Linked DNA regions of Diceros bicornis minor. The protein of the gene in region 1 interacts with the protein of each later gene in a biochemical or structural test. Links are inferred from orthologs where the notes say so. Each region holds a gene or a part of one and is shown in the gene's direction. Other genes may lie near its edges. The genes, in order: RBX1, UBE2F, UBE2G1 and DDB2.

Evidence for each region.
Region 2: the proteins of RBX1 (region 1) and UBE2F form a complex in vitro, tested with the Homo sapiens proteins (2 studies listed by BioGRID). The link is inferred for Diceros bicornis minor from reciprocal best matches to the Homo sapiens genes RBX1 and UBE2F.
Region 3: the proteins of RBX1 (region 1) and UBE2G1 form a complex in vitro, tested with the Homo sapiens proteins (8 studies listed by BioGRID). The link is inferred for Diceros bicornis minor from reciprocal best matches to the Homo sapiens genes RBX1 and UBE2G1.
Region 4: the proteins of RBX1 (region 1) and DDB2 form a complex in vitro, tested with the Homo sapiens proteins (2 studies listed by BioGRID, with this or other methods). The link is inferred for Diceros bicornis minor from reciprocal best matches to the Homo sapiens genes RBX1 and DDB2.

What each region holds. Positions count from the first base shown.
Region 1 is NC_080764.1:9,389,889-9,397,635, reverse strand, and holds the start of RBX1 (E3 ubiquitin-protein ligase RBX1), read left to right. Parts: upstream 1-4,730; 5' UTR 4,731-4,747; coding exon 4,748-4,825; intron 4,826-6,748; coding exon 6,749-6,827; intron 6,828-7,747. UniProt on the Homo sapiens protein: E3 ubiquitin ligase component of multiple cullin-RING-based E3 ubiquitin-protein ligase (CRLs) complexes which mediate the ubiquitination and subsequent proteasomal degradation of target proteins, including proteins involved in cell cycle progression, signal transduction, transcription and transcription-coupled nucleotide excision repair.
Region 2 is NC_080776.1:25,402,301-25,409,428, forward strand, and holds the start of UBE2F (NEDD8-conjugating enzyme UBE2F), read left to right. Parts: upstream 1-4,114; 5' UTR 4,115-4,220; intron 4,221-7,128. UniProt on the Homo sapiens protein: Accepts the ubiquitin-like protein NEDD8 from the UBA3-NAE1 E1 complex and catalyzes its covalent attachment to other proteins. Together with the E3 ubiquitin ligase RNF7/RBX2, specifically neddylates cullin-5 (CUL5).
Region 3 is NC_080757.1:13,461,325-13,468,258, forward strand, and holds the start of UBE2G1 (ubiquitin-conjugating enzyme E2 G1), read left to right. Parts: upstream 1-3,929; 5' UTR 3,930-4,230; coding exon 4,231-4,276; intron 4,277-6,934. UniProt on the Homo sapiens protein: Accepts ubiquitin from the E1 complex and catalyzes its covalent attachment to other proteins. In vitro catalyzes 'Lys-48'-, as well as 'Lys-63'-linked polyubiquitination. May be involved in degradation of muscle-specific proteins.
Region 4 is NC_080770.1:23,170,422-23,178,246, reverse strand, and holds the start of DDB2 (DNA damage-binding protein 2), read left to right. Parts: upstream 1-4,825; coding exon 4,826-4,952; intron 4,953-6,095; coding exon 6,096-6,232; intron 6,233-6,611; coding exon 6,612-6,803; intron 6,804-7,825.

The sequences.
Region 1 (7,747 bases):
CTTTTGTTCAGACTGGTTAATTTCTATTGTTCTATCTTCCAGTTTAGTGATTTTTTTTCCTCTGTCACTTCCATTCTGCTATTGAGCCCATCCACTGAGATATTAATTTCAGTTATTGCATTTTTCTGCTATAAAATTTCCTTTTGGGTCTTCTTTATATCTTCTATTTCTTTGCTGAGGCTTTCTATTTTCTCATTTGTTTCAAGCTTGTGTGTAACTGCTCATTGAAAATTTTTTTATCATTGCTGCTCTAAAATCTTTGTCAGATAATTCCAACATCTCTGCTATTTTGGTGTTGGCATCTATTGATAGGCTTTTTTCATTCACTTTGAGACCTCAGAGTCTTGGGTCAGTTGAGCAATTTTCAACTGAAACTGGACATCTTTATACTATGTTATGAGACTCTGGGTCTTATTTAAACCTTCTGTTTTAACCTTCTGGCTTTTTTTTGATACTGCTCCAGCAGGAGAGGGTGAAGGTAGAAGTCCAGGTTCCCCACTGGGTCCCCACTAACACCCAAGAGTGGGGATGCTCCGTGTTACTGCTGGGCAGGGGTGGGAGTTCTAGCTTCCCGCATGGTCTCTACTGACACTGTAGTGGGGATGGCCTCATTCTTGATGGATAATGATTGGTGAAAGCCTTGACTTTCCACTAGGTCTCCTCCAATACCATCCCAGCAGGGAGGGGAAGGGGTGCCTCATTACTGCTCGGTGGGAGTGGAGGTCCAGACCTCCTCGTGGTCCTCTCTTACACCACAGGGGTAGAGCAGCACCTTATCAGCCAGAAGGGGTAAAAGTTCCAACTCCCTAATTAGCCTGCACACCCTGGCGCAGGTGTCGGGGCACTTGGTTACAGACTTGCGAGCTGTACAAAACAGACTCCCCAACAGCTTTGCTGACATGGGTGGGAGTGGGCCACATTTTCTTCTGTATTGTTTGGATGGAGTAGGGCAGTTATTGTCTACAAGTTTTCCATTTGCTAGAGAAAGCAGCCTTTTGTTGGGTCTTTTTTTTTTTTTTTTTTTTGGTCTGCACTTATTGGCATTTCTGGGTTGCCACCTTCTTCAGCTCCAAGTCTGGGATGTATGAAGTAAAAAGAAAACACAGAGAACTCACTACCATGTCATTCCTCAAGTCCTGAGATCCCTAACTGGTCTGCCTTCTTCTCTCCACCTTTCAGAGTCTTCTTTTTTTTTTTTCAATATACCCTGTCTAGGGATTTCAGTCATCCTCAGAGGGAATAATAGGGAAAAGTATGTCTACTCCATCTTCCCAGAAGTGGAAGTCTTGCCTAGAACTTTTTAAAAGACATATCTGACCATGTGACTCACTGGTTAGAATCCTTCAATGGCTTCCCATCACTAAGGATAAAGACCCAAACCCTTTGCATGGCTCTACTGAACAGTCTTGCAAGACCTGGCCCCTACCAGTGGTAAATGTTTAACAACCAACTCTAGGGGTAGGAGGAGCCCTGATCTGTAGTGTTTGCTAATCTCCATGGTGTAAATACTACTATTATGGCCAATTTGAAGCTACCAACATGATGTCGCTAAATACAGAATTGGGAGGAGATGCTAACAATTGACTCTTGCACATCATTGCAGACTCATTTATACCACTCTCTCTCTCTTTATACTCCAGCCATTCCAGGCTTCTTTACGAGTGCACTATGCATTCTCCAGCTTCCAGCCTTTTCCGCACTCTGTTGGCTCTACCTGGAATGCCTTCTTTTTCCACATCCCTCATTGTGTGCAAGTGCTTGATTTGTAGCTTTAACAGCCAGGTTGCATCAGCTTACAAGAGCAATTGTTAAACTTTCAGGAATTTTGCAATCTGGCTATTAAAGCTACAAATCAAGACTTTATTTTTAGAGGTGGTTTTTAAACATTTACCAGCATACCACTGCATCCATTCGTCTGGTTCATCCTTCAATCTCAAACCAGTTCCTCTAAGAGGACTTCCTCCCGCTCCCCAGACTTGCTTTCTGCTTCTAAGCACCCTGTACTTCCCCTTTCCTAAAATTCACTGGGATTATCATTAATTGACTATTGCCTCTCTCCTACTACCCCATAAGTTCAGTGATGAAAGAGACCTTTTGGAAGTACTTAAAATATCAATTGCCTTTTTTTTCTAGACCAGCATGGTGTAGTTGACACAGCAGGTTCTGTAGATATTTTAGAAATATTTGTTGAATGAATGGATCAATAAATGAAAGGAACAGAACTAAAGTAAAATTACCACCTATTGCATTGTAAATGGAATGAAATTATGCAGGATAGGAATCAGTATGGAGTCCACAAAAAGTTTTCTTAGGTTTAGCAGCAGAACCTAGCATACAGAATTCCATGGCCAATTGCCACAGTAAGGCAAATCTCCAAAAGAGAGATAAGCACATGAGGTTTTCAAGGCTTAATGGAACCGCCCCTACGATCTCCCCTCTGTAGCTCGGTGCAAAGGAAACAACTCGCAAATTTTGCTGCTTCATGTATCCCTACAATCCCTTCTTCACAAAGCTTAAAAATTTTTATAAACTTAGATTATGTCACTGTTAGTCCCTTCCCCTACTTTCTCTCTCCAATGCCTTCTCACAACATCTGCAATAAAATCCCTACCTGATCTGGCCCCTGCCTACCTGTCTGACATCTCTTACCACAAATCCCTTGCTCAACAAGCTTCCGATTTATTCATTCAACACATACCGAGCACCTACAATGTACCAGGCACTGTTCCAGTTTTTGTTACCAGTAAACAAAACAATCAAAAATCTCCTCTCTTGGTGAGCACACAGAAAAAACAATAACTCTAATAAATGAAAAAATGTGTTAGAAGGTACCTGTACCATTAAAAAAAGAAGAGGGGCCAGCCCTGTGGCATAGTGGTTAAGTTTGGCATGCTCCGCTTTGGTGGCACAGGTTTGCAGATTCAGTTCCCAGGCAAGGACCTACACCACTTGTCAGCCATACTGTGGCAGATACCCACATAAAAATAGAGGAAGATTGGCACAGATGTTAGCTCAGGGCTTATCTTCCTTCAGCCAAAAAACAGAAGAAGAAGATAAGCACAGAACAATGAATGTAGCAGATCACGCAGGGCTTTTAGGCCCTCATAAGGACTTCAGCTGAACTGTCACTCCTCATAGAGGCCTTACCTAATCACCCAATTGAATGTTGCTTCCATCTCCCCTCAATCTCATGACCTTGTTTTGTCTTCTTCATAGCACTTGATATCCGAGATTTTCTGATGTATTTATTGACTCCGGTATTATTTCCCTACTAGGAGTTTGACTCCTTCATCACTGTGTCTCTCCTATTTATAACAGGACCTGGTACACTGAATGAATAAATATGCCCTCAGTACCTTAATTTACTATGGGTTTCTAGTATTCCTGGAGGAACACAATAAATTAGATGACAGAAATCTTAACATGGAATCATTAATTTAACAAAACTTGGGCTAAGAAAAACTTTGTAGGGTTTCTATAATGCTTGAAGGTCTCACACAATTTTTCTCTTTCCGAGTCCAGTTAAAGCTGTGGTGGTGGTTTCACGGATCTGTTGTTCTTGTTTATGACTAAGATGAGGAAAGAAATGGAAGTTCTTCCAGTTTACCAATGAAGTCACACTCCATTACTCTCGAATTCTAAGAGAAAATGTGAGATTTTTAGGTAAGAGTGATCTAGCTGACTCATATCTCTGCAAGGTGAGAGACGCAAAAGGGGGGCCTGGTCTAGAAATGGGAGTGAGGTAAAGTATAGGTGCTTTGCCTGCGAAGGAATGACCAGTAAGACTAAATGGCAGAATGCCTCACACAAATTCAAGAAGTACAGCGACTGTAGATGTGACTTCAGCACAAGGAGCAGGAAGACGACCGAAATTAGGAAGAAAGGACCCCACAGTTAGATGACCAACTGAGGAACGAGGAACGTGTGCTCAACGGGGAATGTGCGGGAAGTTGAAATCCTGTACCTTAACCAAAGCCCATTCTAGGACGGATTGGTATTTCGCGAGACCTAGAGACGGCATCTCCCAGGCTCCTAAGCATCCTCCACCTACTTCAGGTGGGCAGGTGAAGGCAGGGCTGGAGAATATCTGCTCAGCTTGGCCCTGGGGAGGACATTCGGGGAGTTCCCGTCTCCCCGTCGGATCCTGAGCATTCCCCGAATTGGAATCAGGAAACCAAACGGTGCCCGGGCCCCGGCCTCAAGCCTCCCAGGGAGGCTGCACCTCGGACCTGGCTCGGAAGAGGGTCAGGAACTGCGAAAGGCCACTGTCGGGTCTCGGGTTTCGGCCGCAGGAGGCGGGCGTCCACCCTCGCCCCTTCCGCGGCGGAAGCCCCGCTGGCACGGGAGAGCGCGGCAGCCGGGAAGGCGAGGCGGGGCCGGGGCGGCAGGTCTCGGCCGAGGCGGAGGAAGCAGCCGCCGCCCCAGCTGAGAGAGTGTGGCCGGGGGCTTCCCCGGGGAGGGCGACGAGAGCGAGTCCTTTCGAACGTTTCCACTTGGCTCGCTCACGTCGCCTCGGCCCCGCCCGGCCCCGCCCCGCCCCAGCCGCCGCCGCCGCCTCCGCAGCCGACGGGGGCGGGGGGACCTGCGCCAGCGCCTTTAAGAGGCGTGGCCACACGCTCCGCCCCACCTGCCCCTCGCGCGCCTGTAAGGGGTGAGGTGCGGGAGGAGGCGCCGGGGCGGGAGGGGGAGCGAGGCGTGCGCTGGTGCGCAGGCGCAGTGGCCGGACGACAGACCGTGTGTTTCCAAAATGGCGGCAGCGATGGATGTGGATACCCCGAGCGGCACCAACAGCGGCGCGGGCAAGAAGCGCTTTGAAGTGAAAAAGGTTGGGTCTCGCCAGCGCCTTCCTCAGGGGACCTAGAGAGGCGCGGATCTGGCTGGCAGGCCCTAGGATGACCGAGGCGCAGAGGAAAGGGCTTCATTTCAGGGCGTTCCTGAGACCGGGTACCACGAAAGGAAGCCGGGGGGCGGGTCTTAGCGTTGATCGGCGTGACTGGGGCCCACTGTCATTGGCAGCATTGGTTTCGTTCGGAGGCTGAGGGGCCAATCACGGACGTGCTTATTGAGATACGCGGGGTTGCGGCTTGGCTGCGGGAGCCAAGCGCCTGAGCTGTCACTGGAGTGCTGGAAGGGTGGGGAAGGAGAGGGTGGGGTGGGTGGAAGGGGGAGTCGGAGCGGTGCGGTGGGTGGAGGATGGGGCAGTGCGGCGAAAGCCGGGAACCTGAGGTCCTACCGCATTGGAGGTCTCGGAGGAGCCGGGCTGGCGACCTCCTTGCCCCGCCCCTCTCCGAAGCTTGGGGTCCCTCTTGACTCTGAGGGACCCCGACCCGGTCCTCACCTAATCGAGGCCTCCATTAGCCACCTCCCTGGCCTTCATCCCCGCCGAGTTAGTGTCTCGAGTGTAACTCTTGGCTCTTCTGAGAGGTCTGTTGGTTTGCCACACAGCCGCCCCAATCCTGTGGTCATATCCAGAATCTCCCTATCCAAAAAAAAAAAACCATGGTGGAATTTGTTAAAAAGAAAATGCGAGCCCAAATCTTGTGTCATTTAAGGAGGGTTGTGTACTAGTTTTGAACGACCTGGTGGAAGTGGGAAAGCAGAAATGTGGAACGTGTCTTTTTGCATGAAACGCCTTATGGTGGTTTGCCAACACTTTGGGAGAAAAGTGCCGATTCCTACCTAAGATAAAGTGAATCTGTTCAAAATGAAGACTCTGAAATAGGGACGATGTTATTCCTGGAACATCTGGATGAATACTGACAATATTCCCCCTCCTAGTGCTTTTTGGCTTTTCATTGTGGGCACTGCATGCTCAGTTACAGCCAGCAGCCATATTGAAGAATAAAAGAAGTAGGATTTTTTTCCTCGAAGTTGAAGCTGTCGGGTGAAACGTGCTGAAGAAGTTACTAGACATTGAGAATTGGGATTGAAAGAGATGAAGGTTTGGGAGGTGGCATCAAATTAGTGGATGGAAAAGAAGTTTGGGAACATTTATAATTGCAGAAGCCAGAAGGTTGAATTACTTAAATACCACTTTTTAGATAAACTCCTAATGGAATTATTTGAACTAAATATAAGAGTCTGAGCATGTAAAAGTTGAGAACAGTAGTTTATTTGATGGTAGGAACTAAACAAAATTCTAGTGAATTCTAGAGTTTGTTGAGAAGTAATCTTTTAAGATTGAAGCCATGACCTTGTTCTCTGCACTGACAATGGGTAATTCGTTATCCAGCTTATCCCACGATTACCCATTTTATGATCCAATCATCATCTTAGTTCGTTCTGTTCCTAGCTTTCACCTCCCCACTCATGCTTCCAAAGCTGCCTTGAAGAACAGATATTTATTTATGCAGAAATTGAGCTCTTCTGCAGCTGCCTGGGGAACCTGCACAGTAATTCAAGTTTGTGCTTATTAAACCTAAAACAGGCACTTACAAATTATGCTTACGTTGATATGGCTGACTAAATTATTTTAAGCTGTAGGAAAAAATAAAATTAAAAGATGACTCATTAATTTCTGTGTTTATATACTCAACTGTTTGGAGAATAAATGAGCATATGTGTAGCCTACTTTTGCCCTCGGATATAATAAATAAGAGTAATGTAGTATCCCCAGGCTCTTTTGTTTGGTGGTCCTTGTGGCCAAAGAGATGATAATTGCAGCTGCAGCATGAAATCCTAGAGTGTGAGTGTGTGTGTGTGTTACAAGGAGAGTAGAGTGCATTGTTCCCCCTTTTTCTCTTTGCAGTGGAATGCAGTAGCCCTCTGGGCCTGGGATATTGTGGTTGATAACTGTGCCATCTGCAGGAACCACATTATGGATCTTTGTAAGTAATTGGAGGAGGATGGGAGGAAGTTGAGAAGGTTACAGAGATTGTGGCTATCCTGATGTGACCAATTTTCTTCTTCACAAGGGCTCTTCTGCATGTAGTCCATTGGTATGTTTGAAATAGAGTAGTTTTTATGATGTCCTGGAGGCATACCCATCTCTCAAATCTACTCCATCTAAAGATGGCAAGGCCACATTTAGAGTGAATTATGGACACAGAGGCACTGTTGGTTATTCCTCTGTATTTCCCATCTTATACCCAGACTCAAAGGCAGAAATAGAGAAAGAAAGAAAATAAACTTTGAGCTAAAATATTCTATCTAGAGCTAGTTTTTGCTGGGTAAGATTTATAAAGAAAAGCCTAAGAAGGAAGGATTTTCAGTGTTAGCCCCAGACAGAGTTAAGAGGACATCACTGCCAACATCTAAATAGGCAATTAACTGCACTAAAGAAGTTTCATGTAAATCTCCACATATTCCATTACACATAGCAGGTTTGATGATAGCTGTTGATGGACTGACTGAGTATCCTTGTAGTAATAGGGGCAAGAATGTTGATCACACCAGGAACAGTTGAGGTTACTTTTTCATCCAGGTACTAAAATGGTTTGTTATTGAGATCAGAAATGGGGCAAAGAAATTTCAACTTTCTAGAATGAAATGATAGGCACTTAGTTCCTAAATCACTTGCCTCCCTCTCCAGCTTCATCTTGAGCCACTCTCCTGCTCACTCTGGTAGTTTCTCTGGCTTTCTTTCCATTCCCCAAGTGTGCATGCTCTTCTTTAGAGCCTTTACATATCCTATTCCCTCTGCCTGGAATATTCTCTGCCTCTTTTCCCCATTACCTTTGTCTAACCCAACACTGTCCAATCTAAATGTGAGCCACACATGCAAGCACATACATAATCTAAAATTTTC
Region 2 (7,128 bases), on another chromosome or scaffold:
CTGCTGCAGCAGCTCGGGGTCCACAGGTTTGGATCCTGGGCGTGGACCGACGCACTGCTTGTCAGGCCATGCTGTGGCGGCGTCCCATATAAAATAGTGGAAGATGGGCATAGATGTTAGCCCAGGGCCCATCTTCCTCGGTAAAAAGAGGAGGATTGGCAATAGATGTTAGCTCAGGGCTAATCTTTCTCACCAAAAAAAAAAAAAAAGAAACAAAAACAAAAACAAAACAATGCACAGCCCTTGTTAAAATGTGCCCAGCACTGCTTTAGGGTGAATGATGAAAATCTGAATCCTATAATATTTAAAAGACCACTCTGATTCAGTCCTTTTCCAGAATAGCTGTCATGGCCCATTTTATTATTTTTTAAAGGAATAAAAGGACACATGATGTTTTCCCTGGGGGCCAGTTAAAACAGCAGTCAAAAGTTAATTATACCAGATATGTAATTAAAGTCACATTACTTAGAATCTAATTGTTGCCTGGGTAGCCCCTTACATCATCATCATCGTCACCATAATTTGAGCCCCCCCAATGGCAAGGAGTCTGTCCCCTCGCTGATACCACAGAGGATCCCAGGACTGGGTCACCAGAGGGGCCGATGGGTCTTGGTTAAGACAACCTCTCCTGTTCCCCATAACCACTTCCAGCCACTCTTTGTCTGGTCTCATCTTTGCCTCATCCTCCCCTCTCCAGAGCACTTTCACTAGGAAAGGCCCAATAAAGCTTTTCCTAAAAATAACGTGACCTGTTTCCACTTTTAGCAACAGAAAGCACCAGTAGCACGTTGGGTTTTGTCCATTAGTTTTCAGCCTCCCCAGATGAATTCTAAGGCAAGGGCTATGGTCAGCATAGCTATTCTCCCTCCCTCCTTCTGCCAGCAGTCTCTCAATTCAGGTGGGACAGCGGAGACTCTGATCTCCGCTATGTGGAGCAGACCTCAGGGGTCACAGCTGAACCCCCCATTCTATAGTGACTTCCCGAGTACTAGTTCCCCAGGGAGCTCATGCTTCTGGAGGGCAGAGTCTGCGCTTTATATATTCTGTACCCTCTGACACTCAGTACCAGGTAGGTACTCATCATATAGTTCCTGCTTATTGAAATAGATTTCAGAAGACCCCGTAGGGACACAGGGCCTATGTGTGTCCACTGCTGTCCAGTGCCCTGGGCCTTGCTCCCCGGGAGAACTGGGGCTGGCTGGAGGGCAGGATGCATGTCCTGGAATAACCTAGAACGACAAAGAACAGGTTAGAGCAGGTACCAGCTGAGGGCGGAGTTGAACCCTTCCACCCACATCTACTCCCCATCTAGTGTCGCCAGGGCTGTTTCCCAATTCACGCAAGGGGTCAAGTTTGGAACATCACTAAGGTCGTGCCCCAGGGAAGGCTTGAAGTGCCTAGGACAGTGTGGGGCAGAGGGAGTGGCACAAGTGGACCTGGTGGGCCTGGCTCTGATCTCAGCTCACCCAGGCTACAGGTTTTACCTCTCGGGGCAATTCTCCACTGAAACACAGAGCCAGGAATGTCTACCCAATGGGGTGCCACTGATGTGGAAGATCTCTGCTCCATCCATAGTGAGTGCAGGAGGGAAGAGCGGAGTGGATGGCTAAGGAAGGTGTCCCTCCCCTGGCTTTCCTGGCAGAGGTCACTTTTCCTGCCTAGGAGGCCCTACCCTAACCCAGCAGGCAACCAAGCCCTTGCACTAGGCATTGTCACTCAGCTGGCAGGCTGCCTCAGGCTGAAGATTATCCAGGGCCCTGGCTTGGTGGTACCATGTCATCCAGGTCAGGGAGCCCCGGACCAGGCCAGACAGCCTCTGAGATAGCCTGTGCAGTTGTGTCCAGAGGCAGGCCTGGCTGAAAACAGAGAGGGGATATCTCCCCTTCCACGGCCCAGCTGGAAGCCTTGGGTTGAACTTCTCGGGGTAGGCATGGAGGAGGTAGGAAGGACACCTGGTGAACTGTCTCTACCTGCTCTTCCTCTGGCACCAGCACCTCTTTGGGAGACTCACAATTGAACCTCTACCCTTCCTCCCATACACAATGCCGTGTGCACACACACACACACACACACACACACATGCACGGTGGGCACGTGATCCTCCAAAGCCCAGCCAATCCCTCCCAGTGAATGTGAAAGAGGGAGGGAAGGGGCAGCCCCTTCTATGGCCTGGATTGTAAAGATGTGTTTGAGGCCAGGCCCCAGCTCCAAGGAGGCATCTGGGAGGACAAGGCTAGCCCCCAGAGGCCAAGACTCTTGGAGCCACTGAGAGCGACAGGCCAGGTTCCCCGGTTCCTAGAGCTGACCTTCTTTAGGTTCTGTGAGCATACCCAGCCTTCTAAATCTTTTGTGCTTAAGCTAGTGAAAGTTCTGTTTTTGAAGGAGCCCGGGATGAAAACCAATTGCTTCTGCAGGAAGCAGGAGGGCCAACTTTGCCCCTTACCTGCCTGCTGGCACCACCAGCTGCCTAAGGGGCGTGGTGCACCAGTTGAGGGCAAATCCTAGCTGCCATATTGGGCAGACTACTTCCTTATCTTTAAAATGGGGATAATAAAATACCCGTTTCAAGAGGTTGTTGTAAGGATTACATGAGTTAATAATCTAGTAAACCCTAAATAAGCCTCAGGTGAAGACATGAGGCAGCCTCATGAAATGGAGCTAGAAATGGCTTTATATATCCACAACGGTGAGCTGTGGGCCACTGTGCGGTGCAGCCCATCCTGTAGACAGTGTTCCCAGTGAATAAGATGAGTACTCAAGCCATTCCAGTCCTTCCTTCACCTGCCGCCTTGCTTCAAGGCCTTATTTTCTCTTGCCAGGTCTCCTGCAATAGCTCATGCAATACTTATCCAGCAGATGTATTATGTCCACCTGTTATGTGCCAGGATGGGGGGAGGGGGAGTAGAAGGAGGGAGAACACAGCAGAGGAGGGCCCGGGGAGCTGAGCTTAGGGAAATGGTAGGGGGGCGGGGGGAGCACAGGGCTCCAGTAAAGTCACAGAGGGGCACCTGCACCTCCCAGTCTCTGGGGCCTCTCTGACAAGTGGTGTCTAAGCTTGGGAAAACTCAAGTTAGCCAGGTGAAGAAGGAGGAAATCATTCCCAAACAGAAGGGATACCATGAGTTGTGTGTTCTTCACTGGTCTTCCTGACTCTACTCTCCTCACTGCCTGGCTCCCACTGCCTCAGAGTCAGAGCCTCTTTTAGAAAGAAAACTTGATATTGGTACTCCACTGTTTAAAACCTTTCAATGGGGCTTCTGGAAATAAGATTCTAACTTCTTGGTCCACGAAGTGAACCTCATCTTTCAGATGGCCCACTCCTCCAGGAGCCCTGCCCGACCTGCCGCCCAGCCCGCCCCCTCCCCCGCCCAGCGCCTATTACCAACCACACTGGGACACAAATGGACGTGAGAAGAATTCGTACTCAACAAGCTAGAAATACAACAATTTGAAACAGATTTTTAGAGTAAGTACTTTACCAATGTGGAAGAGATGAAACAGGAATAAAAACCATTAAGACAAAGGCAGGAAAGGCCCACCCACTCCTCTGCGAGCTCGGCCGAGGCACCCGGGGGGTTGGCGGCTGTTGGCACGTCTGGCCGCCCCGGCTCCCGGCCCCTACCCTGCCGGCTGTGGGGCAGCCCGGTCCTCCGCAACCTCGGCACTGCGCTGGGCACACAGAAGACGCCCCATCCGCCGAGGCGGTTAATTCCGGCCTGGCCGCTCCTCCAGGCCAGGCCGCACAGGGATCCTCCGAGCCCCACGCCCAGTGTCAACGCACCACCAACTGAATGGAGGCAGGAACGCCGCACAGAACCCCCGGGGCCGCGGCGCGCAGGCTCCGGTACAGACGGGAGACCCGCTCCCGGCCGTCACTCGCCAATCAGCGAGGGCCGCGAGATCCGCGCCCGCCCCCGGCCGCGCCCTCTGCCAATCAGCGAGGTCCGAGCAGCCTGCTTCCCAGCCCAGCCGCAGCCGGCGCACGGCGCTGTTCGCGCGTCAAGTTCCAAATAAAGTTCTTCGGAGCTTTGAATTTTTTTTTTAAAGCGCCAGCTGCAGCAGCGGCCGCTGCGGGCGAGAGCGGCCGAGTCCCCGCCCCGCCACTTCCGGTCCTGCCGCCCGGAGCCGGTGCGGCTGTGAGGGGCCGCGTCTTGCCGCTGCCGGCCGGCCGGGCATGGTGTTGGGCGCCGGGTCCGCCTCGCCTGTCTCGGGGTGCCCAGGTGAGGAGCGCGCGGCCCTGCGCGGGCGAGGGGCTCCCGCGGCGCCGGTGCACCGGGCGGGTGGAGGGCGGGCGGCGCCGAGGCCGCCTCAGGCCGTGCCGCCCCTCAGGACCGGGCGCCGGGGGCCCGCGGGCGGGTGCCGCGGGGCGCAGGCGGGGGGCGCGGGGTCGGGCGGCGGGAATGGGAAGGGCCGGGTCGGGCGCTGCAGGGCGCTGGGACAGCCCCCCCTCCCCCGCCCCCCCCGACCGTGATGCCGGGTACACACGGCCTCACGCCGCCGTCGCGGGGAGCTGCTGGCCGCATTGTCCAGAGGAAACGGAGCGCGAGTGCTGGGCCAAGGTCACCAGCCCGACGGGGCCGGAGGAAGCGGGGCTCGGACGCGGGCGGTCCGACTCGGGACTGCCTCGGGGATCAGGCTAGGCCGAGAGGGCGAGGTGGGGGGACACTCCCGCCTAGCCGGCGTGCTCGCAGCTTCCCCACGATGGGGGTTGGGGGTGGGCACGGCTAGTTTGAAGGGTTTTGCTGGCCGGGAGACGGGGAGGGCATCTTGGAAAGATCAGTACAGCCGAGTCTTGGATTCTAGACCTGGCTCTGCGGGTGTGTAATCTTGGGTGTGGCCCTCTTCTCCCTGGGGCTCAGTTTCCTCATCTGTCACATGAGGGGATTGGGCCCGCCCCCTTCTGCATTCCCTCCAGCGCTGGAGTGGGGTCAGGATGGATCGGAGGGGCCTGAGAAGGCTTCTTGGAGGGGATGTTGGAAATCTGGGTCGGAATCTGTTACCCTAGGGAAGGAGCGGGATTAGGTGGCGAAGGGAACGAGGGCATTTCAGACCTGGCTATCACATTGAGCAGAAGCTTCCAGAAATGAGCAGGGAGTTGTTGAGGAACAGGGAGGATGCTCGCCTGCCTTGTGCAGAGGATTCCCTGCTGGGTAAGCGGATGAAGGCAGGGGAGAGGGTAGCAGTGGGAGAGATGTTCAGAGACAAATCATCACCAGGCTAGGAGGTCTGAGGCTTGAGGACCTCTGCCAGGACATACCTGCCATTCAGGTAGTGTGCAGAAGGGGGCAGGTTTACTGCTGAAAATAAGAGTTGGGCTCCAAAGGTCGGTCAGCCAACCAGGGTGACTCCAGGTGGGAGGTTCCAGGGCCCCAGCATTCTGAAGGAGGAGGGTAGGGTGTGGACTTTTTTGTGTCCTGATTTGGGCCTCTTTGGCTGGAGAAGTTGGTTGTCCCCTAGTGTCCTGCAGTTCCATCTTTTACATTGAGATTGGGACTTTTCCACTGCAGGAAGAATTGTAAATGAGAAGTTCCCCACCACGTGAGCTGACTGGCCCGTGATGTCCATGCACAGGTGACATGGCCTGATTTTGCCGCTACAGGTGGGAATGTTGTGTAAATATTACTTGGTATGATGAGACTAGTAAATAGCACATAAGAATCTTCTTTGAACAGTCTGAAAGCAAGACCCACCCAGAAGAGGAACTTAACCAGGCCAATTACAACTTGTGGAATTTACAGACTGAGCATGCTGTTCAGTATAGCTGGTGCGTTACCAAAAATGCTGCCATAGTCAGAGTGTCATTTGCAGTAAAGGGGAAGTTTAGTTTTAAAATAGCTCTTTAAGGAATGAAGCATATTGAAGAAGGTAAAGAGAATTCCGAAGCAACTGCAGGTGTTCAGCTAACCTCTAGACTCTTTGAATAATTGTTTTTATTCAGATCTCTTTTATAGTGTTAATTTAACAGCTATGAACATTCCCAAATTTGTCCTTTGGTTTATCCCTAAAATGTCATGTCATAATGGTAAAGATGATGGAGAAGTAGATGGTCATTACATACATAGATTTTTTAGAATGTTAGGAAAGTGAGTTTTGTCTTATCTTCTATGGAAAACAAAACACCAGTGTTTTCTTTTGTATCTTGCCTAGTCAATTAATAAGGGCCACAGACTTGTTGAAGATCACAAGCCAGGAGTCTGTCTTTAAGTAGAATTGATTGAGTATGGAGCATACTCTGCCCACGGAGAAGAATTCATTGTGGGGTAGGGGTATAAAAGAATTAAAGGGGCTGGCCCGGTGGTGCAAGTGGTTAAGTGCGCGTGCTCGGCTGCGGCGGCCCGGGTTCGCTGGGTTCAGATCCCAAGGGTGCACCGATGCGGCGGCCCGGGGTTCGCTGGTTCGGATCCCCGGGGCGCACCGACGCACTGCTTGGCAAGCCATGCTGTGGTGGCTTCCCATATAAAGTGGAGGAAGATGGGCACGGATGTTAGCCCAGGGCCAGTCTTCCTCAGCAAAAACAGAGAGGATTGGCAAATGTTAGCACAGGGCTGATCTCCTCACAAAAAAAAAAAAAACAAAGAATTAAGCCGAGTCCTCAGACTGCAGTGACACAGAAGAGTGCCTTGGTATGAGCCTTTATTTGTGCGAGTGAGTCTTGCCAGGACCCTCTGAGTGGCTCCTTCGGTGCAGGTCCTCAGGGAGCTGGGTGTGGACTTGGCATGTGCCCTAGCACTTGCTTTCCCATGGGGCTCTTTATTATGACTTTCCTAGGGTACTGCCTGCTGAACTCTCTTTATGGACACTGTTCTTTTATTTTATTTTTTGGCATATTTGTATTGCTAAGGTTGGCTAGAGGATAAAAACCAAGTGGATTTGTGTGGTGCATCCAGCCAACTCCCAAGTGATGGATGCATATCTTGGCCCATCTTCAGGCGCCCCTGACGATGTGGTAGGACCGATGCTCAAGTCTGGGTGTGTGGCAGTGGACTTGGTTGGGAAGGCAAACACTGCTTTGTGATCCAGATCTGCTTAAGGGATTCCTGACAAGATCATTCCAGGTGGGGGCTGAGCAAGAGAGCCTGCTCTAGATGGTCCTGCTGTCTCTGGTAGCTTGTGGGCTGGAGCCCCCAC
Region 3 (6,934 bases), on another chromosome or scaffold:
CTGACTGTCCTCTCCCACTGGATGTCAGTGCCACGACGGCAGGGACTTGGCCTGCCTGGCTTACTCCCAGACCCCAGGTCTCAGAATCGCCTCTAGCTCATAGCAGGTGCTCAACACACATTTGTTAATAAATGAATATAGGGTTAGACAGTTGGGTGTGCATCTGGGCTGGAGATAAAGATTTGGAAATTATTATAAAAAATAAATCTTGGGCCGGCCCGGTGGCGCAAGCGGTTAAGTGCGCGCGCTCCGCTGTGGCGGCCCGGGGTTCGCTGGTTCGGATCCCGGGCGCGCACCGACGCACTGCTTGGTAAGCCATGCTGTGGCGGCGTCCCATATAAAGTGGAGGAAGATGGGCACCGACGTTGGCCCAGGGCCGTCTTCCTCAGCGAAAAAAGAGGAGGATTGGCGGATGTTAGCTCAGGGCTGATCTCCTCACAAAAAAAAAAAATAATAATAAATAAATAAATAAATAAATAAATCTTAATAAGCAAGGAATAGAAGGGAGCTTTCTTAGCCTGTTAAAAGGATCTATGAAAAAATCTACAGCATGAGACTTAATAATGAAACAGTGAAACAGTCCCTTTAAGAATGGAACAAGACAGGGGGCCGCCCCGTGGCTTAGTGGTTAAGTGAGCGCCCTCCACTGCTGGAGACCCGGGTTCGGATCCCGGGCTCGCACCGACGCGCTGCTTCTCTGGCCATGCTGAGGCCGCGTCCCACATACAGCAACTAGAAGGATGTGCAGCTATGACACACAACTATCTACTGGGGCTTTGGGGGAAAAATAAATTAAAAAACAAAGAAAATAATCTACAGATAAATGATTAATTTAGAGTTTAGTGAGGTTGCTGGATCAACATACAAAAGTCAATTGCTGTTTAAAATAATTTTTTATACACCAGGAAAATGCAGACTATCTCATTATTCCAGGCTTATCTCTAAATGTAAATGAAAACAACCATTATATCACCACAAAATTCACTTTGAGCATAGTGAATTAAAAAAAGAAAACACCACAGGCCGCCCCGTGGCTTAGCGGTTAAGTGCTCGCGCTCCGCTGCTGGCGGCCCAGCCCCGATCCCGGGCGCACACCAGACATACCGCTTCTCTGGCCATGCTGAGGCCGCGTCCCACATACAGCAACTAGAAGGATGTGCAGCTATGGCATACATCTACTGGGGCTTTGGGGGAAAAAAAATAAATACATAAGTAAAATTATTAAAAAAAAAAAAAGAAAACACCCTATAGACATACCAAGGCATGTTATCATGATCTTTAAAATATCAGATATAACAAGAAAATCCTAAGAATATCCAAGAAGAAAAAAAAATAGGCTGGGGGTGCCAGCCCGGTGGCATAATTGTTGGGTTTGCATGCTCCACTTCAGCGGCCTGGGGTTCACAGGTTCAGATCCCGGGCACAGACATATGCACTGCCCATCAAGCCATCCATGCTGTGGCAGGTGTCCTACATATAAAATAGAGGAAGATGGGCACAGATGTTAGCCCAGGGCCAATCTTCCTTAGCAAAAAAGAACATTGGCAACAGATGTTAGCTCAGTGCTACTCTTCCTCATCAAAAAAAAAAAAAGCCAGCTACAATGGAACAAGAATCAACAGCAACGTTGGATGCTAGAAGACAATGGACCAATGATTTCATATTCTTGAAGAAAAGTTATTTGATTTTAAACATAAAATTCGATACCCAGATAAAGTGGTATGAAATTACAGATGTTTAAAATTTTGGCATTTTTAGACATATAAGGACTTAGAAAATTTGTCTCAAATACACTTGTCAGAGTCATCTGATAATATGCTCCAGCAAAAGAAGGGAGTTAAAAGAGAATTATACTTGAGATCCAGGATGCAGTAGACTTAGCCCAGGAGAGCAGTCAGAGGGAATCCTAGGAAAACTTCTATGTAGGAGGCATGGCCCAAAGCAACGAGCCCAGATTAGAGAGGTAATATAGAAGCTTCCAGGAGAGAGATTTCCAAGAAAAAGGGCTTGATAGAATACAGTAGCAATGGGGTAGGATTGGGAGGGGAAAGATATTGATTATAATCAAGACACTGCAAGACAAAAAGTATAATTAGAAACTCTAGGCCAGAAAAAAATCTGTGTAAGGAATAAATATTATAATCCACTATAGTGTTTGGTTCTCCTATTCAACATTTACAAAGTCACAATAGTGTAAAAACTATTCATTGATATAACTAAATATGATGATTTAATGATATTAGGAAAATAAAGGATGGAAATAAGATAGTTAAATTCTTATTGGTTACAGCAAGAATAAATATATAAGGTCTAAACTGGATAAATCAAGACAAAGTACTATAAGTATGTCATTTAGAATAAATGAAGGTAACTACCGGAAGAAACTGCTAAAAGAGTAGTTAAAAGGGATTGCCTCTGGCAAGCAGGATTTAGGAATGGGGAAGGGGTGTGACAAAGCATGTTTCTTTTTTCCTGTAAGCCTTAATACACTGATTATTATCTATGTGTATTTACGACTTTGATAAAATCAAAAATTTATTTAAAAAGAAAGACTTTTGGTCCAGAAAGGAGGGGAGTTTGGTCCAGAAAGGAGGGAAATGGATTTTTTAATGGTAAAGCTAAGGAAGCTTCAGAGACTGCGTGAGCGCTGGAGTTTGCTTTGGGTGAGAGAGGAAGCTGTGTGGCAACCAGGCAGCATTTCTGATGACCCGGCTAAAGAGATCTCAGAGAAAGGGACGAATTACCCAAGCCTATTTGTGATTTATTTTCTCATTCTAAATAAATAGTCATTTTTGAACTTTATTTTTTCTTTTCCTTAAAGAGAGTCCTTCAAATTCCATAAACTTTAGGCTTCACAAAACCTAGGTTAACTCCCGAGGCGGGGGTGGGGGTTGTTATTCCAAAGAGTTCAGATTCACTCACAATGTTTATTTGTTCCTTTTAATTCTCTTTCTAGGGGGAAAGTGAGGGCAGTTTTTTCAGAAATTTTTATAATAAAAAAACTGTATTGGAACCTCTTCCTCCTCGGGCTTTTTCCCTTACCTGGAACTCACAGAGACTGTAAGCCCTTTGAGGGCAGGAACAGAGCTGTATTTCTCTGTGTACAAAGTTAATACATGTTTCATAAATATTTGTTGAAGAAAGATAAATTTGAGTGCCATGAGGAATTAGTCTCCCTTCTGCTCCATCTCTTTTTTGAGACTCTGTTTTATCAAACAGAAGGCTGCAGGAATGAGGAAAAGAGGAGGTAGAGAGGAGAAAGGTTGCTTCTCCCAAACCCTAGATCCCACACTTTGACTTGACATAATAGACGCCTTTCTGGACGACATTCTGAATTGTGTATACTGTACCCGATTTTGCTAATCTCAACTTCCCCTACTAATAGAGATTATTACTAACGATGCTTAAACATCTAGTACTATGAGATGCCGAACATTTTGCTTATTTCAAGACTCTTTGTGCATTCTTTCTGCAAAGTGAATGAACAGCATATTAAGCCTATTTTGGGGGTTTGCCTAAAACGGGACACACCAGGACTAAGTTCGGCTTTAACAATGACTAGCTCGCACACCATGTGTGGAGGGTTAGACCTTGTCGAGCGCTGGCCAACAGCTAGACATCTACTAGTTCTTTCGGCCCCTTCAGTGTCAGACCACCTGCTTCAACCCGGAGGCGGCGTCTTGACCCTGCGCGACCTCTTTGTCATGGCGTCTGCGGGGCGTCTACCACCAGAGGCCCTAGCACTCAGTCGGGCGTCGACCTTCCCAAGATGGCGGCGGTCGGGGCCACTGCGCGTAAGGGGCGGGACTCCGCCGCCGGGGGCGGGGCAGGGAAGCAGAGGGGTAGGACTTGCGGGCGGGCCGAGGGCGAAGTAGGCAGCCCCAGCGCGCCTGCGCGGAGCGTCCCTCCGCGCAGTGAGGCTGTGGCGGGGGAAGGTACCGGTGGGGCCGACGGGCGGGCTGAAGGAGGGAAGCGGACGAGCGAAGTCCCAGTGCGCGCCGCGGCGGCCCGGGTACCCTCCCCTTCCGGGCGCTGTGAGGAGAGCTGAACGGAGCGGACTCGCGCCGGCAGCGAGGCAGCGCTCCCGCCGCCCCAGCCCGGCCTCCCTCGGCTTCGGCGCTCCCGTCGCGGGGGCCCGGGTTCCTCAGCACACCCAGCTCCGGCAGCCCCCAGAGCCTGTCCCCAGCCCTTCGGAAGTCCCGGCGCCAGCCCGGGCCCTTGGCGGGGAGGATGACGGAGCTGCAGTCTGCACTGCTACTGCGAAGACAGCTGGCAGGTGAGCGGGCGGGCGGGCGGCGGGGCGCCGGCCGGGCCGCGATCGCGCGAGCCGCTGCCCGCCACCTCCTCCCCTCCTCCCGGGCCGGCGGCCGGACGGCCGAGGGGGAGCGGCAGCCACCGGCCAGGCCGGGTGCGGGCCTGCGAGGGTGGGGAGCCCGAGGCGCCGGTCCCGGCCGGGCCCAGCACTTCTTCCCCGGCTTTCGGAGGGCATTGGGGGCGGGGACGGGCCTGGCGCCCGGGGGGAAGGAGGGGAGCCTGCCCCCTCCCCCATTGCTCGGTGGGACATGGCGGGGGAGGGGCTGTGGGTCCCCAGCCCAGCCGACCCTCCTTAGAGGGGCGGGTCCCGGCTCAGGTGCGGCCGAGGCCGCCGGACCCTGGGGCTGAAGGGAGGTCTGGGCCCGGCCCGCGGTGAGCCCCCGGCGCGGGTGTCTGAGCGTTGGGCGGGCAGCAGGGCGAGAGTGGGCGGCGAGACGGGCCCCTGGCCCGGTGAGGCGCGCAAAACTTCTGCCCGGGCGGCGCCGGGTCCGAGGAGTTGTGGCCGACAACAAAAGCGCCGGCCTCCGCGGCCTCGTCGCGGGCTCGCGGGGTCCGAGAACCTGGCGGGGTGCGGGACGGCGCCTCGCCTGCCTCCGCCTGGCACGGGCTCCGGCTGCGCCGCCGGCTGGGGGAGGGTAGGAGCGGGCAAGAGGGGACGGCCGCTGGCTGGCCGGCGCCGGGCTTTGTGCTCGGAGCGATTCCGGCCCCCGCGCAGGCCTGCGGAACCGCGGGGCTGCGGCCTGCGGGCCCCGGTTCGGGGCGGCGGCCGGGCCGGCCTCCCCAGAGGTGCCTGCGTCCCCCTCCCCCATTGTCCCAGCCTCCGGCCGTTTGCGGCTTCCAGGTTGACTTTTTAGGGGGTTGGCTCCTACTCTGCTAGGACTGTGTGCGCGGAGCATGCGCACTGGAGACGTACGTGTGCGGAGTGTAAGGGGGGAGGCGGGTTGGTGGCTTCACAATGCCGCCCCACGTGCTGCCAGATTTAAAGAGAAATGAACCCGCAGTTACCCCTGCTGTCCAACGCCCAGTGTGTGTCCTTCTCAGTTCAGGCTTATCTTCACCTCCCCACTCTCTACGGACAGCAGTCCTAGCCCTCGGGAGAAGCCAAAGGCTGCAATGAAGAAATCTATTTTTGAAATAGATTTACTAAGAGTTTGAGGTGTTAGTTAAATCACCTTTATGGCTTCTTAAGGAAAAGGTTGTCAGCGGCTGTTCGAGATTGTATAATTAGGTTTATTATTAGACCATGAGCAAGCAGGTTTGGACAAGTATTAAAGTTCTAGATGCTCAGGGGGAGCGGCTTGACATGAAAAGAGAAATACTAGTGATACCTATGTCCATCAGGAATAATATATTGGAAAAGTAAAGTTTTAGATGCTCAGGGGGAGTGGCTTGACATGAAAAGAGAAATACTAGTGATACCTATGTCCATCAGGAATAATATATTGGAAAAGCAATGAAAGAATAACAACTTTATTGCGCCTTGTATTTGCAAACACATCTTACTTTTCTGTGTATTTTTTAGTTTGTTTTGGAGGAAGGAGTTAAAATGTTCTTTTGTCTCCCTGAGAATTCTTTAATCAGAATAAGTTTTTATTTTGTGGTGAACTATTAAACAGTATTAAAATACTAAATATTAAAATAGTACTCAACTCTTAATGGGAAAGATACACATTTTAAAAGGTGTAAAAGAAATTACGAAGTTACTAAGAAAGTATGACTAATAACAGTGTTAGCAGTAGCAATATTCAAAACTGTTTCCTACCCGTTTGTGAACCAGCTATAGACTTTGATAAGTCACTTGGTTCAGTTTTACACTCTTTTTTTTTTGACAAGATTAATCCCAGATATTGATGAAACGTTTCCCAAACCTCTTGATTAATGGTTGACTTTTTGATAAGGCACACTAAAATATACTTTAAGGTTGGAGGAGAGAATGATTTAGTTTGTAATTTTTCAAGCCTCATTATAAAGTTATTTAGCTGCTGATTAATTTTTCTTGCCTTCTTGATCAGAAACAATGGACTGTTCTTAATATTTTCTTAAAATTGTGAAGGATTTTAATTAACATACTGAAAATGTACAAAACAGTAGGCCAAGGCAGTGCATTAAGTGAAATGTAAAAATATCAAGTTTATTGGAAAGACTTAATAACTACATACTAAAAAAAAAGGCCCTGTTATATCTTCGCAGTACATTGTTTGAGCTTTGTGATTCTTCAAATATCATTTGAAAACAGGAAAGAATGGTAAACTGTAATCTCTTGAAAGCATTTAGAGTGAACTTTTGGAAGGCTTAACAATAAATGCTTTAAAAATCTTGAAATGTATTGAATTGAGTAGACCCACAAACCTGTAAGCCATTCTAACTGCTAGAATTTCAGAAACTTCCAACAGCAGTGGCCAACAATGGTTACATTTATTGAGCCCCTAGTCTCCCAGTCCTTAAGGATTTTACTAATTACTTGAGGGGAGAATTTATTGTGTGTGTTTTGTTTTGATGGTAACTGTAATGAAGAACCTGGTTACTTTCAGAGTTGAGCAGAATGGTTCCTTGGGTTGCAGAATTTCTCAGCCTCGGAAATACTGACATTTTCGGCCAGTTAGTTATTGCTCTGTGGGCC
Region 4 (7,825 bases), on another chromosome or scaffold:
GATTATATAACAACGTCTATTTGTAGAACACTTTACAGTTTGCAAAGCACTTTCACATATATGATTTCAGCACTCTGGCAATTGCCCTGCAAATCTGGCTGTCTGGAGAAGTTTCCTGGCATCCTGTACCTATGGTATGTCATGACAGGATATTGATTTAGTCTGTGGATGGTGCCTCATCCCCCACAACAAAGACAGAAGGTGGGTTTTTTTTCTTTGGTATTTACACAGCTGTCTGACACTTCCAAAGCTACCCAAAATTGTGTTTTGGAAAATGGATACTATTCCCAGAGGGTAGGAATCGAGCCTTCGTTTAGCATTATTATGAATTTATTCATATTTGGGCATTTAAATATGTACTGCAGATGCCAAGCAACAAGGACCCTGGATGCTGTATTCAGTCTGTTTCCAATCCTTTAGGAGAAATTTAAACTTCAGTTCTTTGCAAGCTCTGCAGAATCCTTGAGGCTGTCATTTGCAAACCACTGGATGCAGTCAGTGTGTGTGGGAAGCCTGCACACACCACCCGAGTGGATTATGAGTGGTTTTGCAGACTCAGCAGAACATTTGGATCCATAGACAGCTTGATCAGAATCAGAGTCGTGTACCAGCCTGCACCAGGAAAATGATTTCTGCTAAATGGAAACTTCCCACAAGGAGGCCAGAGATGAAAGCTGTCACTGGTTTCTGCTGCTTTAACAGCAAGTCACAGGATCACAAATTTTAAAACTGGAGGGGATCTGACAGACCACCTATTCCCTCCCCTTCATTTTATGACAGGAAACTTAGGCACAGAGAAGTGACACGATGGACCCAAGATCACATAGTCTAAGAACAATGCTCTTTCCACTGTGCTATATTATTCGTTCCAGAAAACACCTAAGCCACGTATTGTTTTACAGATCAAAGAAAGTGGCATTATTTAGGGTCATGCTCATGGTCTGCCCAGCACAGTGTGAACACGAGACCTTGATTTGCTTCACCAGCAGCTTTTGAATGAACTGCCTTGTGATGCCTTACATCAAAAGTAGTGTCATAGATAGAACCAAAACACCTATAAACAGGGTTTCATGGCACAGCCTCCCCACGGCGTGAAACCGGAGCGATGCTGCACCATTCACCTCATTATCAGATTAGCAGCATCAAAAAATACATATTAGGGCCGGCCCCGTGGCTTAGCGGTTAAGTACCTGAGCTCTGCTGCTGGCGGCCTGGGTTCGGATCCCGGGCGCACGCCGACGCACGCTTCTCTGGCCATGCTGAGGCCGCGTCCCACATATAGCAGCTAGAAGGCTGTGCAACTGTGACATACAACTATCTACTGGGGCTTTGGGGGGGCAAGAGGAGGATTGGCAATAGATGTTAGCTCAGAGCCGGTCTTCCTCAGCAAAAAGAGGAGGATTAGCATGGATGTTAGCTCAGGGCTGATCTTCCTCACCAAAAAAAAAAAAAAAAAAAAAAAAAAACATATTAAATGCTTTTGTCCACCCTGCATCTGATGGTTCATCAGACAGGAATGGATGACATCAGGTCCCTAGGCAGCTGTTTGGTGGTGAAACAAAGTGAAACCCAGGGTAAGGATGCCCTAAAGCACAACCTGAAACAAAGCACGTTACTAGCATGTGCAAGGCAGGTTTCCACTGCTCACACGTGGTTTTGTGAATCCACCACGGAAAACTCCCCAGTCCTGGGGCAGGCCCTGTGGCCTAGTGGTTGAGTTCAGCATGCTCTGCTTCTGCGGCCTGGTTTCAGTTCCCGGGCACGGACCTACACCACTTGTCAGTGGCCATGCTGTGGTGGCGACTCACATACAAATTAGAGGAAGATTGGCACAGAGGTTAGCTCAGGGCAAATCTCTCTCAGCAAAAAAAAGAAAGAACGAAAAAGAAAACTCCCCAGTCCTAAAAACGGATTCTGGGGAAACCTGGCATTAAGCAGGACATGACCTTTGCTCATGAATCCATCATGGCTAATCATTGCCTTCCTGCCTTTCCATTTCCTTTTTTTTGTTTGTTTGTTTGTTTTTGTGAGGAAGATCAGCCCTGAGCTAACATCCATGCCAATCCTCCTCTTTTTGCTGAGGAAGACTGGCCCTGAGCTAACATCCATCACCAATCCTCCTCCTTTTTTTTCCCCAAAGCCCCAGCAGATAGTTGTATGTCATAGTTGCACATCTTTCTAGTTGCTGTATGTGGGACGTGGCCTCAGCATGGCCGCAGAAGCGGTGCATCAGTGTGCGCCCGGGATCCGAACCCAGACCGCCAGTAGTGGAGCTCGGGCACTTAACTGCTAAGCCACGGGGCCGGCCCCTACATTTCCTACCCCTTTTTCCTGGAGCACTCTCCCCTTCTCCCCTCCCCTCCCTTTCCTCAATCTCTCAAGATTCAGCTTAAGTGTCACCTTCTTGGGGAAGACTTCCTTGACACTATCTCTTCTTTACCCCACGCCAAGTTGAGTTAAAGTTATCCTGTGCCCCCTACCCCACCAGAGCCCAATGCTTCCTCTCTCACTAAACTTATCACACTCTATTGTAGCTGTAGGTTTAGTTGTCTATTAAAAGGCACACTCCATGGGGGCAAAGAGCATTTTTCATTTCAGCATTCCCTTTGACTGGAATAATGCCAGGATCAGAGTAGGTTTTTGATCAATGTAGGTAGAATGAATGAAATGTGAATTCTTCTGCCTGCCATTCAACTTCCCCCTTTATCTGGCCTCTCTCACTTTGCACAGATCCTCAATGTGGTCAATTTTCTCCTCTTCAAGCTGCCTCCTACCCTACTCATAAATGTCAATGCTCCCAAGCCAAACACCATCAGGGACTCTCCTATAGCTCAACTTCGAGTCTATTGCTCATTGCAACAGAGGATGCATACCATGGGGAATGGTAAACATCTCTGTAAGAAGGTATGAGAAAGAACTTATAGTATTGGCTTGTGTTAGATGATTTGGATAAGGGTTCAAAGAAGTGGAGCTTTGCTCTGGATTGGAGGCTGTCAGAAAATGGCGGTAATTCTATGATTGAGTATCAATACATCTTGTCTATAAGGTGGGAGGAATGAAGCAAAGCTAAAGCTGTGATTGGCAAAGAATCTGCAGTCATTCATATTAGCCAAAATAATAGGGAGATGTTCCATCATCTTTGTGATTTGGACAACGTTCATACTTTTGCCTGTGTTCAGACATGAGTGATCACGTTTTTGTTGATCTCTCAGGGTCACACAATGGCCTTGTCTGGTGTAGATATTTTGTGAGATTGTTTACTTTGACAGAACACCAAGACCTAGCTAATAGTACCAGGCCAGCTGCCAGATGCCAGGGGCTGCTTTTTTTTCTCATAACCCACACCCATTCCTAACTTTTATCAAGCTGTTTCTCCTCCTAGGATGTTCTCCCTCCCCCAGCCAGCACCACGAAATCCCATCCTCCCTGAGTCTTTCTTAAATACTACTTTCTCCATTGGATTATCTTTTCTGAATGCATCTAAATGTCTTGGTTGGCATACCACAATTTGGTACTCAGCTGTGTTCCATCTTGAATTGTTTGAGTTGTTTCACATGTATTTTTTGTCGTCTCAGTAGGTTGTAAACCTTTTAGAGGTAGGGTCGTTTCTTATACTTCAGGATCCCCCAGAACTGAGCACCCTACTGAGGTGAAACTAATGGCCGGTCTGAGTAAGAGGGGCAGCTTGCTTCTGTAACACAGCCCTGAAAACACAGCTACAGGCCAGCAGGGGAGAAGCCACCAGCTTGCCTTTCCCACTAGTGGTTGCCATTTCTAACATGCTGGGCTGATCTTTCCACCAAGAAAGCATTTTTCCAATTTTTCTTTTGGAGCATTCATTTCCTTCCAAGAGTTCTGTTTGTAACTGTCTTTCGTCCCTACCTGTCTGAAAGCTCCTCGAGTGCAGGATCTACCATTAATGCATTTTTGTCCCCTCTCACCCTCCCAAAGCGCCTGGCACCTGGCTTAGCCGGTGGAAGGAAAGGACCAGCTGTCCAGACTAACCCCAGCTCCTGCCGGGCTCGTCGCAAAAAGTAGGCTGCATCCGAACTGTCTCCTGTCGGGCTACCTATGAGGCTGGCTGCCTTGGCCTTTGGCTGAAGTCAGGGCACAACACCTCAGCCCCGTCAGTTAGCCTCACGCCCTCCGGCCCATGACTGCCCCAGGCTGCTCCCTAGGCAGACAGCAAGTTTGGGGAAACCTTAAAAAGGTGCGCATTTCAACCACTCTCCACAGAGCAGCTGAGATTCGACGGAGCTGGAGAGATATAAGTACTACTCGACATCTACGACAACGCTGGCCGATGAGAAGTACTCGCTTTCCATCACAAGGAACCTGCCAGCTTTCTACAAAGCCGCTTCTCTCCAACTGTACCAGATCAGCCAATCACAAAGCTCAGGCGGGCGTGGCCACCAATTAGAAGGTAGAGAAGGTGGAGGCGAAGCCTTGATTGGCACCCGGTCTCTAGAGGACGCGCAAAGGCCTGGCAGCGCCGCGTCTGAAGAGGCTTCAGGTTGGGTGGCCCAGGGCGGGTAACCATCTTTCTTTCTGGCGGGTCAGCTGACTTGGACCAGCTCAGGCCCAACACGTAGGCGATACATCATTTCTCCAGGGAGCGGGTGAGCCCCTCCCCTGACACACTTCCCGTCTCTCCGCGCGCGCCCCCGCCCTCGCGGTGAGCCTGTTTGGCGGGAAGTTGGCTTAGTTGGCCTACCTGTGGCTCAGCGGGTTCTCTGGTCTCCGCCTTGTTTCTCCCCAGAGGCTTCTCAATCTTCCTTCTATGATCTCGGCATAGAGCACAGTACCCCTTCGCACGGAGGACGCGATGGCTCCCAGGAAACGCCCAGAAACCCAGAAGACCCCCGAGGTGGTTGTGCGCCGCAAGAGCAAGAGGAGCAGAAGCCCCAGGGAGCTGGAGCCCGAGGCCAAAAAGCTCTGTGCGAAGGGCCCCGGTACTGCCTGCGCCTGCTGCTTTCATAATGCTGCCATGTGGGGTTCTCACGCAGGAGGCTGGAGTGGGGGATGGGTGCTCCTAAATTCCTGAAGCTGTCCCAAGGATTGGACGCCTCAGGCTATGCATTTTGTCTGCAGGTCCTTTGAGACCCTAGAGTTTGGGCTTAACTCCCCTCAGGTGATGGCAAGAGGCAGATGAGCTCCATTACAACAGACACAACGGACTTGGCAAATTCCTTGTTTGTACCGGGATTTTTATACACCGAGGACCGCTTAAAATAATCCTCCCTTGCCTGGTGGTGTGTGCGCGCTGAATTTCGATAGTCACGCTTGTTAGCAGTATGTTGTTGGTTTCAGCTGTGAGAGCGCTCCATTTCCTTCCTTCCTTCCTTCGAAACTCATTCTCGGGGATTTGTCCGGGCTTGAACCTGGGGCTATGAGGAGTGTGAGGGACTCAAAAGACTAGAGTAGGGAGTTGTTGATTAAGTGGTTTTTTGTCCATGAGAAGAAAGAATTTGGTTGTCAAGAGGCGGGATTCATAGAGATCAGATCCTCAAATACTTGTTGGTAATCCAGACTTGCTTTATTCCTATTCTAGGTGGATCTACCTCACCAAAAGTAGCCTGGTTAATTTACAGCCCTGCCAGACCCTCTGGATCCTGCTGGTTTTCAGGAGAACAGATTGGATTTGGGGACACCAACGGGTCACCTCTACATTATTTTAGTATAGGATTTAAAGATACTGCTTATCCCAAACAGTCACTTCCACTATGCTGTCCTAAAATCTTTTTATTGTGCATTTTATGTGATTTTAAAACTGTCACCTGACCCTATCACGAGTTTCCAACCCAAACTGGGAAGAGTTCTGTAGTATACTTCATTGTGTTTTTCTTTGACTCATTTCTCAGGAACCCTGCAAGATCGTATATAATTTTGCAATGACTATTTTGGGGAACGGGCTGAATTCCTACTCACTATTTATTTCTTGTACTGGATGAGACTGAGCCACCCATGGAAAGGCCTTAGGAGGTGATGAGAGAGATTGGCCATGCTGAATGAAACAACAGGCTTTCTGGGATTTCAGCAGAAAAACCTTTCTTGAGTGGGATCGGAGAGGAAAATATGTTTGTTCTGCTTGGCAGGTTCTAGCAGAAGATTTGACTCAAGCTGCCTTTGGGCGGAGTTGGCTAGTCTGCAGGTCCCGCCACCATGCAGCAGCATCGTCAGGGCCCTCCACCAGCATAAGCTGGGCAGAGCTTCCTGGTCATCACTACAGCAGGTGAGGCGCTTCCTGGCTGAAGTACTCAAGGGTTTGCATGGTGCCTTTTTCCTACTGGATGCTCCAAAGTTAGATGCTAGGTTGGTTCAGCGGGTTGTCAGAGGGGTCAAATCACCCCTATCTTGGTGACTGGCCTACGGGCACTCAGCCAGGTAGAAGTCCTATGCCATAAAGGTCCCAGCTGGAATGCACTCTGCCCCTTTGCTTTCGAAGGTTAGTTCATGTACTTTGCAAATATTTCCATGCACAGGGCCGGGCAGTTAGTTTTCCTTTGGTGGGAGGACTTGGCCCTGGGGCTTATCTATGGAGGAGGCAGAGATTGGCAGTTTATCCAAGACTTGGGTTTTAATTCATCTTAATTCTTTTCTCTCTGTGTCAGGGTCTCCAGCAGTCCTTTTTGCACTCTCTGGCTTCTTACCGGATATTCCAAAAGGCTGCCCCCTTTGACAGGAGGGCCACTTCCTTGGCATGGCACCCAACTCACCCCAGCACCCTGGCTGTGGGTTCCAAAGGGGGAGATATCATGCTCTGGAACTTGGGCACAAAGGACAAACCCACCTTCATTAAAGGGGTGAGCAGTTCCCTGGGCCAGATGATAGTGCTGAAGAAGTGTTTGTTGAAGGAATGAAAAGTCATCCAGTAACAAAGAGATGATTGGGATCAAAAGTAACCGTGGGTATTTTCAAACAAGTAAATGGTTGTGATACTCAAATCTTTATTGAATGCCTGCCCTTAAAATATTAGGTAGTATAAAATATTTACCACCCTCCAGTAAGTCACCACATGGAATAGAATCTAAGCCTCCTCTTACCTCCTTGACCTTGACTCTTATACTGCTGTCTCTCCTCACTTCCTATGCTTTAGCCATATTAGCTATTTCTATCCCTGAAACTGAGTCCTTGCACTTGCTGTTCCCTTTGACTGGACTGCTCTGTCTTTGCTCATGGCTGGCTCCCTCTTACCATTCAGGTCTCAGCTCAATATACTTTTTCAAAGAGGCTTTCACTGACCATTTTGCCTAAAGTAGCCCCCATCCCACCCAGTCACTCCCTATCTCATTACCTGCTTCACTTTTCCCCCACAATGTTTATCATATCTAAAATGTTTTACTTACTTGTATGTCTTTGTCCCCTGGAAAGTGAGCTCCGTGATGGCAGGGACCTTGTCTTTCTGGTTCACCGCTGTATCTCCAGTGCCTAGAACAATGGCGCAGGGTAGCTGCTTTATATTTGTTGAATGAATGAGAGGCTTGAAGTGTAACTAGGTAGATGGAATGTATACATACAAGATAACTAGCAGTATGGATGCTAAATGCTACAGAACACAAGAGAAGGAAGAACCTCTTGCGAATTAGAGTCAGTAGAGAGGGCTTCATGGATGAGTGAGGAAGAACAATATTTAGATAAATGGAGAGAAAGGGGGAAAGGCTGTTTTGGGGCAAGGTTTGGCATAGAATTTATTAGGGATGGTCTTAATCGTGCTGGGGTTTATCATCAATTGCCAAGGGGTGAGGGTGTTGGCCCTTCCACCAAAGACCCGTAGCTTGTCCAGCTGGGAGCTAACATTGGAGGATAGTGTACAGTCATGTGTCAC